3 linked regions of the Sus scrofa genome follow. The main gene of each other region encodes a partner of the protein of the gene in region 3 in a complex. Links are inferred from orthologs where the notes say so. Each region holds a gene or a part of one and is shown on either strand. Other genes may lie near its edges. The genes, in order: NSMCE2, NSMCE1 and EID3.

Region 1 (3,648 bases), on a different chromosome or scaffold from region 3:
TCCAACTAGGAACCATGAGGTTTCGGGTTTGATCCCTGGCCTTGCTCAGTGGGTCTGGGATCCGGCATACCGTGAGCTCTGGCATAGGCCACAGCTACAGCTCCAATTAGACCCCTAGCCTGGGAGCCTCCATGTGCCACAGGACTGGCCCTAGAAAAAGACTAAATAAATAAATAAATACATACATACATACATAAAAACAGGAGTTCCTTTCATGTCTCAGTGGGTCAGGAACTCGATAGAGTGTCCGCAAAGATGCAAGTATGATACCTGACCTCACTCAGTGGGTTAAGAATCCAGCGTTGTTGAAAGCTGCTCCGTTCGGCATTGCTATGGCTTCGGCACAGGCCAGCAGCTGCAGCTCTTATTCGAACTCCTAGCCTGGGAACTTTCATATATCGCAGGTGAGGCCTTTTAAAAACAAAAAACTAAACAACTCTAATCCAAACAAAGCAAATAACATTTTTCTAGATACTCTGATCAAAAAATTTTGATCAAGTTCAGCAAAACTGAACTTTCCTCATTTTTTGTAGAGGCCTCCCTTTACTGGTACCCCCAACATCAGCTCAGTCTATCAAGTATGCAAATATGAACAAAATACAGTTAAATAACTGAAAAAATAACAATCGCAATGCTCTCTATGGCACAGTTCATAAATGTCACATACTTTTGACTGTATGCTCCATGAGGTCAGAAACCTTCATGTTTGAGCCCATAAATTTCTAGTGTCCTTTTTTTTTTTTTTTTTTTTTTGTCTTTTTTGCTATTTCTTGGGCCGCTCCCACGGCATATGGAGGTTCCCAGGCTAGGGGTCGAATCGGAGCTGTAGCCACCGGCCTACGCCAGACCCACAGCAACGAGGGATCCGAGCCGCGTCTGCGACCTACACCACAGCTCACGGCAACACCGGACCCTTAACCCACTGAGCAAGGGCAGGGACCGAACCCGCAACCTCATGGTTCCTAGTCGGATTCGTTAACCACTGCGCCACGACGGGAACTCCTCTAGTGTCCTTTCTAGTGGTACATAAGGGTTTAAACATATACAAATGAGTTAATCTTATCTCATCCTCAGTACATCACTATGTAGAACATAGCACAAGATGAGAAAACAGATGCCCAGAGGGATTCAATGACTGTCCAAAGGTTACTCAAAAGGTGAGCAGTAGCTCACATCCCTAAAGCAATGCCACCACACAGGGTGACCTCGGAGTAGACACAAATGAACTAAGTTTTAATTATGACTTACTCTGAGTTTCCACAAGGTCCAAAGCAACACTAGAAGCTGTGTCCATTCCAGAGCTGATGCAGGTCTGGAAGTTTTTCAAGGAGGACAGAGCAGATTCTATGCCGCTGAAGGATATGAAACCAGTCGAACCTGAACTGGAACTGGCACGCCCTGGCATCTTGAAATTATTACCTAGGTGTTCAAACACAATGAAATGAAATTTATGAACAAGGATAATAACTGCACAGGAAAACAGAACTGCTGTAAACATCCATATGTATGCATCCAATATCCCACAGGTGCTAATACCATTGTCTACATTCTACATCTCTTGAAAGGATATCAAATAACCGTGCCATTATCTTGGCTGCCAAACACAACAGATTCACTTCTGTTGTGAGGGAGGTAACTGCCATCATTTTTTAAAGGAGGGAGAATATTCTCTTCCAAAAGTTTCCTCAAGTTTCTGAAAATTCAACAACAGCACAGCTTATAAAAACATAAAACATAAATGGGTCAGAAAAAGTAGACTGCTCATATGATGCATTTTCCTAAAAAAAAAAAATGAAAATGATAGCAATAAAATTGCTTAATAAGGGAGGATTTTGAAAATCTGTAATTTTTAACTTATCTGACACACATGCATATTGAATTCCGAACACTATTTAAAAAAAAAAAAAAAAAAACTTTTACTCCTAACAGTTTCTCTGGGTTCTAACAGATTTACAGACTTGGTGAGATTCCAGATTCTGTTTCAGAAAAAAAAAAAAAACAAAATTTGCCTGTATTCTTATCTTCTGGTAGCTCATCCACAGTAATAGTTTTAGCTATTACCTTCAGATTAAAATACTCCCTAATCTATATGTTTAACCACCAACTCTTTAAGCTTTGGACTACTTAGATGAAGCTCTCTACAAAAAACATCGGTGCTTAATTCAGAAACTATGTGAAATTCAGTCCACTGAAACCAAGCAGAAAAATGGAGAGAATTTACTGGGGGAAGGCTGTATGGCAGCAGGAAAAAAGGTATTTTCTTAGCCTCCATACAGACATTTCATGAATTCATGCTTAGAAATTTGAAACTGTTAATACCTTCAAATGACTTTTCTGAAGACCATGTTTTTTTTTCAAATTGTGAAACACTACAGGTGCAAGGGAACCTGGTAAGCTCAGAACTCATACTTCTAAATGGAGAATATTTTCTATTTGAATTTTTGAAATAGATATATGTAAATATTTCACTAATAGTTTTTACCTACTTTTTTGCCTCTATTCAGAGCATCTCTGTTCAACAAATATTTTATAAAACCAAACTTATCAAATAAGTTATCTATTATTCTTGTCAATGCTCTACTGTATTAAAATAAGACAAAATCAAAAAAATTTAAATAGCTACATAGGCCCAGTGGCTACTGCACTGGACAGCACACTTCCAGGAACACACTTATCAAAGTGTACTACAGACAGACAGACAGACACACACACACGAACGAGGGGGTAAGGAAGGGGGAATAATGCCACAGTATGATCAAGACATATCTTCCTAGAATATTAACTCCATTTAAAAATAGCATGAAACATTTATATTAAATATTAGTTACATTATGGAGTAGAATATGGAGGCAATACTTGTAGAGGTTAACTACTGAAAACTCTGGTAGGGGTTAAAAATGAGCCTCTGGAGCCAAACTGCATGAGTTCAAAGCCTGATTTTGCCACTTAAGTAGCTGAATGACTTCAGGAAAATTTTTTAACCTCTCAAATGCTTCACTTTTTCTCTCTGCAAAATGAGGATGATCCAGGGCCAACTTCAGAGATCACAGGGATTAAGTTCATATGTAAAACAAAACGCTCATAATAACACCTGGCACATAATCTTTTAAAATGAGAGAAAACAGGAGTTCCCGTCATGGCTCAGTGGTTAACGAATCCGACTAGGAACCATGAGGTTGCAGCTTCGATCCCTGGCCTTGCTCAGTGGGTTAAGGATCCGGCCATGAGCTGTGGTGTAGGTCGCAGACACGGCTTGAATCCCATGTTGCTGTGGCTGTGGCGTAGGCTGGTGGTTACAACTCAGATTAGCCCCCTGGCCTGGGAAACTCCACATGCCTCGGGTGCAGCCCTAAAAAGACGAAAAAAGAAAAAAATAATGAGAGCAAATATTATCATCAACTTAATCATTACAATACTGTGAGCAGCAATGCAGAATAGGGTTTAAGTGAATGGACCCTGGACAGAAATGCCTTGAAATTCCATCTTGTCCACATCACCTAAAAATGAATTGCTGTGGCTGAGGTACTTAACTTCTCTATCTTCGGTTTGCACCCATGTGAAAAGGAGTTGATCACATCTATCTCACAGCATTGTTGTAAGGACAAATTAAATCCTATAGTTTTGTCAAACTTGTCTGATCTTAAGAAT
Region 2 (4,293 bases), on a different chromosome or scaffold from region 3:
TTGATATATTAGAGAAACGGAACTCCAGTTCAAAGCACACTTTTCAATGAAAGGTGCCAGAACAACCCATTACCCACACGTGAAAGAAAAATCAAAATAAAACTAGACCCTTAGGTCATATGATGCACACAGATCAATTCTTAAGGATAAAAAGTCATAAGAAAGGAGACACTATAAAACTTCCCAGACAACACCGGAGTATATCTTTATGACCCACAGGTGGGGAAGGACTTCTTTAAAGGATATGAAAAGTGCAAACCATAAAACGACACAATGATAAACCCAACTGTTAAAATGAAGAACTGCTGCTCACCAAACACACAGCAAGGGGAGGCGACAGACAAAGAGACAGAGAAGCCAAGCCCAACCTGGAAGGTATGTGAAACACAGTGAAGCCACGATCCACATAATCTGATCCATATTCAGATTATACCAAGAACTCTCACAAATCGGTAAGGGGAAGACAACTGCACGAGGAAAAGGAGTAAGAGAAATGTCACCAAGAGAATGAACGAAGGACTAAGAAACACAGAAAGAGATTCTCAGTGTCGCCACGCCCATCACCAAACAGGCACAGCTTCTTAAGAAGGACAAGGCTGAGACGTTCATCAACTGCTGGTCGAATAGTAAGTCTTAGAACCCCTTCAGACATCCATTGGACATTCCTAGCACATCTGCATCTCCCCAGAAATCCACTGTTAGGTACATACTTCACGGAAACACCCGCATTTACCCCAAGAAGTATGTTTACGAAGCGCAATGTAGTAACAAAGATCAGGCAACAGTACGAGTGTCAATCAATGGAAAATCACCTACATAAGGCATTTATAATATGGTGGAAAAAAAAAAACAAAAAAAACAAAAAAACGATGCAGAGCTACTCACAGGAACATGGATGCATCTCAGAAACATAACATCATGTGCGAAAATCAAGTCACACAAAATATATTCAGGTCCCATTTACATGGATCCTGGGGCCTGGGAACTTCCACCTGCTGTGAGTGCCCACCACCACCCCCCGCCCCCAAAAGAACCCATTTACATAAACTCCAATCTCCCAATGAGCAAGACTGTGCCCTGCATTCACGCGAGAGACACAGATACTAAAAATTACATAGAAAAATAAAGGAAGGATAACATGATATTCAGGGCAGTGGTTATCTTTTGGGGAGGGGAGAAAAGGATCCAATGGTGGCTTTGAGGATACAATACTGTTCTATTTCTTAAAAGTTCTATTTCAGTGGAGGCTTTGAGGATATGAAATGTCCTATTTCTTAACTGGGTGGTGGGTGGACGGGTATTCACTGTAGTTTTGTTCTTTAAATTTACATCACACATTTCTATGGGCATATTACTTATCCTAATTGTAAAAAGAAGAAAATGATGTAAAATACGTTAAGTAACAGCCAAAATAAATTTTACTAAGAGGACGGAGGTAAAGAATGCTATAATTTGGGGGGAAGGGGTGGGAAAATTAAGTGGAAAGATAATCTATAGACTTGTTTATGCATAGAAACCAGTTGTCTCTATGAAGGGGAGATGGGCTAGCCATGAGCATGTATTACCTACCCAAATTATTATTTTATTCATTTTTTTTACAGCCACACTCGTGGCATATGGACATTCCCAGGTAGGGGTCGAATCAGAGCTGCAGCTGAGGCCTACACCACAGCCACAGCCACACTGGGTCCGCGCCGTACCTACGACCTACACAATGCTGGATCCTTAAACCACTGAGCAAGGCCAGGAATTGAACCTGCATCTTCGCTGGTCTGGTTCTTAACCTGCTGAGCCACCAGGGGAACTCCTAGGTACCCAAATCATTTAAAAATAGAATGTCTGCAGAACAAGCAAACCTCAAATAGAACCATCTGTGCCAAGAGCGAGATATATATGTGCATGCTTCCTGTGCACAGTCCTATTTAATCCTCCCCAGAACCTTATGAGGAAAGCATTACTGACCCCATTTTTCAGATGAGGAAACAGAGGCTGAGAGGGCACAAGGCCACACAGAGTTAGTGATGGAGACAGGGAGTGACCATACAAAAGCATGGTTAGAAACTGCCACACCCCCAGTACAAACAAGGGCAAAATATGAGTGGATCAACAAAATTATGATTCCAGGTTTTACGTGCAACGCTTAAATCTAAAAAGTTCTCAAAAACAAATCCTTTAAGTTTGAAAACCCCATCTGGCTTCAGGTGAGACTATTCATGCTTGTTGTTTACCTTCTTACTGGGAATATGCATCTATTCAGCTGTGAAAAAAAAGTAATGTATCTGATGACAAGACGCTGCCGGAGACCCCAAGGAAGATAGGACAGGACATATAATATATGCCCCAAATTACCTTTCGAGAATCCTAGAAATTCGGGATTGTGAACACATCTAGCCTCGGAGCTTTAAAATAAGGGGCTGTGGACTTGTACAAAGAAGTTGTGGACCCCAAAAAGAGAAGCCCAGAGTCGGTGAGCCTGACAGGGTAGTCAACGAAAGCCGTATTTTACGTATTCAGTTTAGAGAGAATTCTAATGCTTTCTCAGCTAATATTAGGATGTAAATTACCTAATATTACGATTTTAAAATGTCTGTGGGTGAGGGACTAGGTTCCGGTTTACCTGCCTCTGCAGCCCCTCTCAGGGCCTCAGTTTCCCCATCAGGAAATGAGAAACCGCGGCCCCCCGGCCCCCGAGGCCACACTGCGACACAGCATCGGGCCGACCCCCGGGGCCTGACCCCCACCTGCCGCCCGCCCCTCGCCTTCCCGGACAACTCTCTTCCTTCCCCGTCAGCCTCGCGCCCCCGCGGCCCGATTACCCACCGCGGCGCCCAAGCGCAGCCCACACTGCCGGCGGCGTTAGCAAAAAGGTGGGCTCGGCCCCTCCTTCGGGGCGGGGCGAAAGCAGTCGGGGCACTACCATTGGTGGTTCTTGCAGATTCGCTCCTCCCATCAGGTGACGCACTTCCTGTTCTCCCGTTGCCATGGTGCCGGGGAATCCGCCAGTTAGGGCAGGGGTAAGCGCATCCCACGCGGGTCACGCCCTGCACCTTACTGGAAAGGGCTTCCGCTTTTCGTCCTCCGCCTCCTGCCCGGCAGCTACCCCCCACGCGGTGAAAAGAGGAAGACCAAGAATGGAGCCTTAGTGTGACCGATTCCGTGGGCACAGCTTAGTGCCTCAGTTTCTCCATTTATAGAACTGACAGAGCCACTTCACCATCAAGAACGAGGCTTCTGGGAGTTCCCGTCGTGGCGCAGTGGTTGACGAATCCGACTAGGAACCGTGAAGTTGCAGGTTCGATCCCTGCCCTTGCTCAGTTGGAATAACAATAATAGTCCCTATGGGGGAATCCCCTGTAGCTCAGCAGACCTGAATCTGACTAGTATCCATGAGGACACAGGTTCCATCCCTGCCCTTGCTCAGTGGGTTAAGGATCCCGGTTGCATGAGCTGTGGTGTAGGTGGCAGATGCAGCTCAGATCCCGGGTTAGTGTGGCTATGGCATAGACCAGCGGTTACAGCTCTGCTATGATGCGGGGGCGGGGCGGGGCGGGGCGGGGACTAAAAAGCGAAATAATAATAGTCCCTATGAAATAATGTATTTCGAAGGTTGTTTTGTCTTTTTTTCTTTTTCTTTTTTTTTTTTTTTTTTTTTTTGGTCTTTTTAGGGCCGCACCCGCGGCATATGGAGAGTCCCAGGCTAGCGGTCTAATCGGACCTGTCTGCCGGCCTATGCCAGAGCCACAGCAACGGCATATCCAAGCGGCGTCTGCAACCTACACCACAGCGGGGGATCTTTAAGCCACTGAGCGAGGCCAGGGATCGAACCTGCAACCTCATGGTTCCTAGTCAGATTCGTTTCCACAGCGCCAGGATGGGAACTCCTGTTTTGAAGTCTTTTAAACACACATGGAAGTACTGATTAAATGTTTACTGCTTTCTTACATAAGGTTTGTTGTGAGAAGTAAATGCAATTAACAGACGTGAGCGAACTGTTCGGAGTCTCCAGGACACTTTACGACGTTTGTATTCCAGTCCCTAGTCTGAGAGCTGGCTGAACAGACTAGCAGGGGCCACAGGTAACGGGTGACTTATTATAGACCAGTAGAAAGTACAAGTATCAATCTCTGTGATGATAGCTTTAAGTCCTTACTTGGCTGGTTACCATTCCTGTGATCTTGGACAATATCTCAACCTCTCTGGACCTCACCTGCTGAGGGGGGTAAGAAGCAGAGTGGTGGCTAAAAGCTTGAATTCCATAACTAGACCGTCTGGATTTGAAACCTGGTTCTTAAA
Region 3 (3,882 bases):
AGCTCCATATGCCAAGGGAGCGGCTCAAGAAATCGCAAAAAGACAAAAAAAAAAAAAATTTTTTTCCGTATTATTCTCCCAAAGTTCAGCTGACTTTATTGAACCTATGAAATTTAAATCACTCTAACTGTACTACTGGGAAACCAGCAGACTTGAGTTTGGTTCTTACCTAATCTCTAAAAATGAATTATCTATTGGTCAATTTTCCTTTTTTCTTCAAGGTAAGTAGTGGCTTAATTTCCAAGTGATGAGGCAATCCAGGTGTCATGACAACCAGTTAAAAACAGAAACAAGTGTTTAACTTAAATTCTATTTCTGGGGAGTTCCCGTCGTGGCGCAGTGGTTAACGAATCCAACTAGGAACCATGAGGTTGCGGGTTCGGTCCCTGCCCTTGCTCAGTGGGTTAACGATCCGGCGTTGCCATGAGCTGTGGTGTAGGTTGCAGACGCGGCTCGGATCCTGCGTTGCTGTGGCTCTGGTGTAGGCCAGTGGCTACAGCTCCAATTCGACCCCTAGCCTGGGAACCTCCATATGCCGCGGGAGCGGCCCAAGAAATAGCAAAAAAAAAAAAAAAAAAAAAAAAAAAAAAAATTCTATTTCTGCTGTAACTTTAGAGGAGACCCAAAGATGCCCTCCTTCACAAGCCTCCCCGTTCTCTGCTACGCAATGTGCTTTCAATCATCAAGTCGCAAACACTCCTGGTCAAGACACCTGGTGTTTAAAGAGTCATCCGGTGGTGAGCAGACCTGAGGCAAGATCTTTCTGCTCCCGTCGAGATCTTTCCCCCAAACAGCAAAGCTCTGGAAAACCTAAGGGGGCGGCTGGAAGACACACTAAAGGAAGAATCAGCCAGACGAAATGAGGCCTCCACAGCTGCTAGATCAAAGGGTGGTAGGTACTGGGAAGGGAGAGGACCCCTTCACATGAAAAAAGGGAAAGGAACGACTAGTTTAGAAAATAATAGGCCATGTCTCAGGAGAAATTCCTATGTTTGCTAAAACCCTCCACTAAGACTAAAGAACCTCTCAATCTCAATGTCATTCATTTAGCCTTTTGATTTCCCTTCCCTTACTACATGAGACGTGGCAGTAAAGTTTATCATTACTGCTAAACAAAGCAGATACTTACCCACTTACTAAATACGGTTTAATGGCAAGACCCACTACGACCCAAGATTAAGTTTCTAGAGATCAAGAAAAGCTTACAAGCATGCTCACAGCACCTTCAAAAATTGCTTTTTTTTTTTTTTTTTGGTCTTTTTTTTTGTCTTTTAGGGCTGCACCCATGGCATATGGAGGTTCTCAGGCTAGGGTCCAATCGAAACTGTAGCTACCAGCCTATGCCAGCCACAGCCACATCAGATCTGAGCCACTTCTGCGACCTACACCACAGCTCACGGCAACACCGGATCCTTAACTCACTGAGCGAGGTCAGGAATCGAACCCATGGATTCTAGTCGGCTTCGCTAACTGATGAGCCACGACGGGAACTCAAAAATTGTTTTCTTAAAGACCCAAATTTCTAACAGTAGCCTCCAAATAACAATGCAATTTATATTCTTAAAATAATTATAAGCAACAACATAAAGCCTTTTGACTTTATAAGAAGTGAAGAATATTTGGATAAATTAGTCATATATTTAAATTTAAACAAGGACAATTTCCAGGCATTTAAAGCCCTATTGAGAAATACAAAGTTGAAATGGTAACAAACATTTCAAGGCTGCAACATAATGAAACATCACTGATTCTGAGATACTAGCAGAATCACTGTGTACTAACATAAATTACAAGGGAAAAATGAGAAGCCAGAGAAGAATTTAAGTAGATAGAGATTGTAAATGGATGTTAAAATAGTTTGCGTGTGAAATAATCTGACAGAGATCTTCAACCTCTGAGGATATTAACAGATGAATGAAGTAAATCAATTTTTGCCCAATATAACATTCAAATGGAACAGTGTTCAGAAAAAGCTTATAAATCTTTCTGATACCGTAACATCTTACAATTCCATGTATTTGGCCTCCATATTTCCCTGCTAGAATACTTTTCCTATCTTTGACCAATTTCTACTCATCTCTCAGCACTTAGTTAATGCCTCACCTACTATAGTAGAGATATTCTACTTCCGCTGAGTCCAATCACAGGAGAAATTCTTTAGAATCTGGATATCCCTGCTAATTTGCTGAGTCCTCTTTGCAATGAGGCACGGCATCTGAATTTTTTTACAGTATTTATGCACTGCCCTACAGATAGTCTTTCCAGACCATTTTTTTTCACCCACTCTTTCCCTCAACCTGGTTAAGAGCCTATATGGAATTCCCTTGATTCCCTGTAGCAGAGGAAGCAATGCAGTATCACAGAGCCTCATAACTAAGTTTTTGCAATTGTCAAACACCTTTTAATTTAAAAAATTCAGAACTTCTCTTAATAAGGTCTTAAGGAACAGTCAAAAAAAAAAAAAAAAGTTTCCACAAACATGCTAGTGAATTTCTTTAGTTAGCAGAAAATCATGACAATTCTATAAATACCAAGAAAAACACATTGCACAGTACACAACTTCTGATGTTATTGATAATACTTTTTCACTTTACAAGAGATACAATGTGTGTTTTGTTTGGATTTTATTAGCCGTTTTGATATGCTTTAGAAAAGCCACAAAATACATTCTAAGAGCAAGTTATCTTCAGTATGAGTTTGTGATCATAGCCTCTGAAATTTCAAAAGTTGCCACAATATTTTTCCAGTCCTGTAAACTCAAAGATATAACCCCTTGTTTCCTGCCATGGGAACTGGGATCATTTCCCTCACCCACTTGGTTCATATTAATTGGCTCTAATATTGGCAGCCTGTCTTGGTCAAGCCTTATTCTTGCAAAACCATCCCTTATAATGAAAGAAACATAAAATATATTCTCCACAGTACGAGAAAAAGAATTTGGATCAATCACAAACTCAAAATAGGACACGGGAGTATCAGGATACTTTCTAAAGTATGTTTGCAACAATCCCAAGATTCTTTCTACTTCTTTTTCTGTCGCTTCTTGATTACTACTCAGGTCCAGCTTCCTCAGCTTTGTAGGCATGTCCCCATTTTCTTCCATCTTGTGAACTTTTTTCCGGTTTTCAAGTCGGGGCTTTCGAGAAGAAGGCTCTGATTTGAATGAACCAAAAATAAAGTGGAATGTTTCAGCTTGCAATATCCACGATGTTGCTTCCTTTTGCACTGTCTCCCAGAAGGAAAAAGCTATATTATCATCACAGTCATTCAATACATCACGTCCATCATCTTCCATCCAGTTTAGACCCACAAATATAAACAGAAAGTCACAAAATGCTACTTGATTAAAAAAGCTCATATCAGAGTTTAGCTGCTTTGCTTTTTCTTTACCCAAATCAGAAGCCAAAACAAGAAACTGCGCATCAAGCGCGGCTTCTCTTGTTCGACTCACTGCATCAAACAGGACATTGGCTTCCTCGAGAGCCTCGGTTAAGGAGTCGCTCGCCGTGTTCACTATGTCATCACGGTTCTGCTGGACGTTATAGATGAGCTGCCGGTACTGCTTGCGGATACTCCGGCATTTCTCCTCGTCCACAAGCTCCAGGAGGCTTGGGTCAATGTCGGCCTCCCCAAGGCTGAGGTCGTCAGAGAAGGCATCAGCCCCTGCCTCCCCCTCCTCCTCCTGCGCCTGCCTGCCAGAGTACGCACTGCGGGTGACGGTCACAACCGGCTCCTCTCCTTTCTCTCTGTCCCCCCACCTCAGGGAATCTCTTTCATCAGACATTTCGGGAACTGATGGCTCAGATGACGCCCCGGCAACGTTTAGGACAACGGCGGAAAATCGAAGGGGTCAGACAGAGCGGAGGAGGACGTCCGCCCATG

What was found.
Region 1: EID3 (region 3) and NSMCE2 share a complex: the UniProt entries of both Homo sapiens proteins name them as parts of the SMC5-SMC6 complex. The link is inferred for Sus scrofa from reciprocal best matches to the Homo sapiens genes EID3 and NSMCE2.
Region 2: EID3 (region 3) and NSMCE1 share a complex: the UniProt entries of both Homo sapiens proteins name them as parts of the SMC5-SMC6 complex. The link is inferred for Sus scrofa from reciprocal best matches to the Homo sapiens genes EID3 and NSMCE1.

Annotation. Positions count from the first base shown.
Region 1 is NC_010446.5:14,591,603-14,595,250, forward strand, and holds part of NSMCE2 (E3 SUMO-protein ligase NSE2), read right to left. Parts: intron 1,420-3,648; 5' UTR 1,406-1,419; coding exon 1,249-1,405; intron 1-1,248. UniProt on the Homo sapiens protein: E3 SUMO-protein ligase component of the SMC5-SMC6 complex, a complex involved in DNA double-strand break repair by homologous recombination. Is not be required for the stability of the complex.
Region 2 is NC_010445.4:19,608,426-19,612,718, reverse strand, and holds the start of NSMCE1 (non-structural maintenance of chromosomes element 1 homolog), read right to left. Parts: upstream 2,924-4,293; 5' UTR 2,921-2,923; coding exon 2,821-2,920; intron 2,815-2,820; exon of another isoform or gene 2,618-2,814; intron 2,587-2,617; exon of another isoform or gene 2,350-2,586; intron 2,254-2,349; exon of another isoform or gene 2,229-2,253; intron 1-2,228. UniProt on the Homo sapiens protein: RING-type zinc finger-containing E3 ubiquitin ligase that assembles with melanoma antigen protein (MAGE) to catalyze the direct transfer of ubiquitin from E2 ubiquitin-conjugating enzyme to a specific substrate.
Region 3 is NC_010447.5:80,220,740-80,224,621, forward strand, and holds the end of EID3 (EP300-interacting inhibitor of differentiation 3), read right to left. Parts: 5' UTR 3,785-3,882; coding exon 2,687-3,784; 3' UTR 595-2,686; downstream 1-594. UniProt on the Homo sapiens protein: Tissue-specific component of the SMC5-SMC6 complex, a complex involved in repair of DNA double-strand breaks by homologous recombination.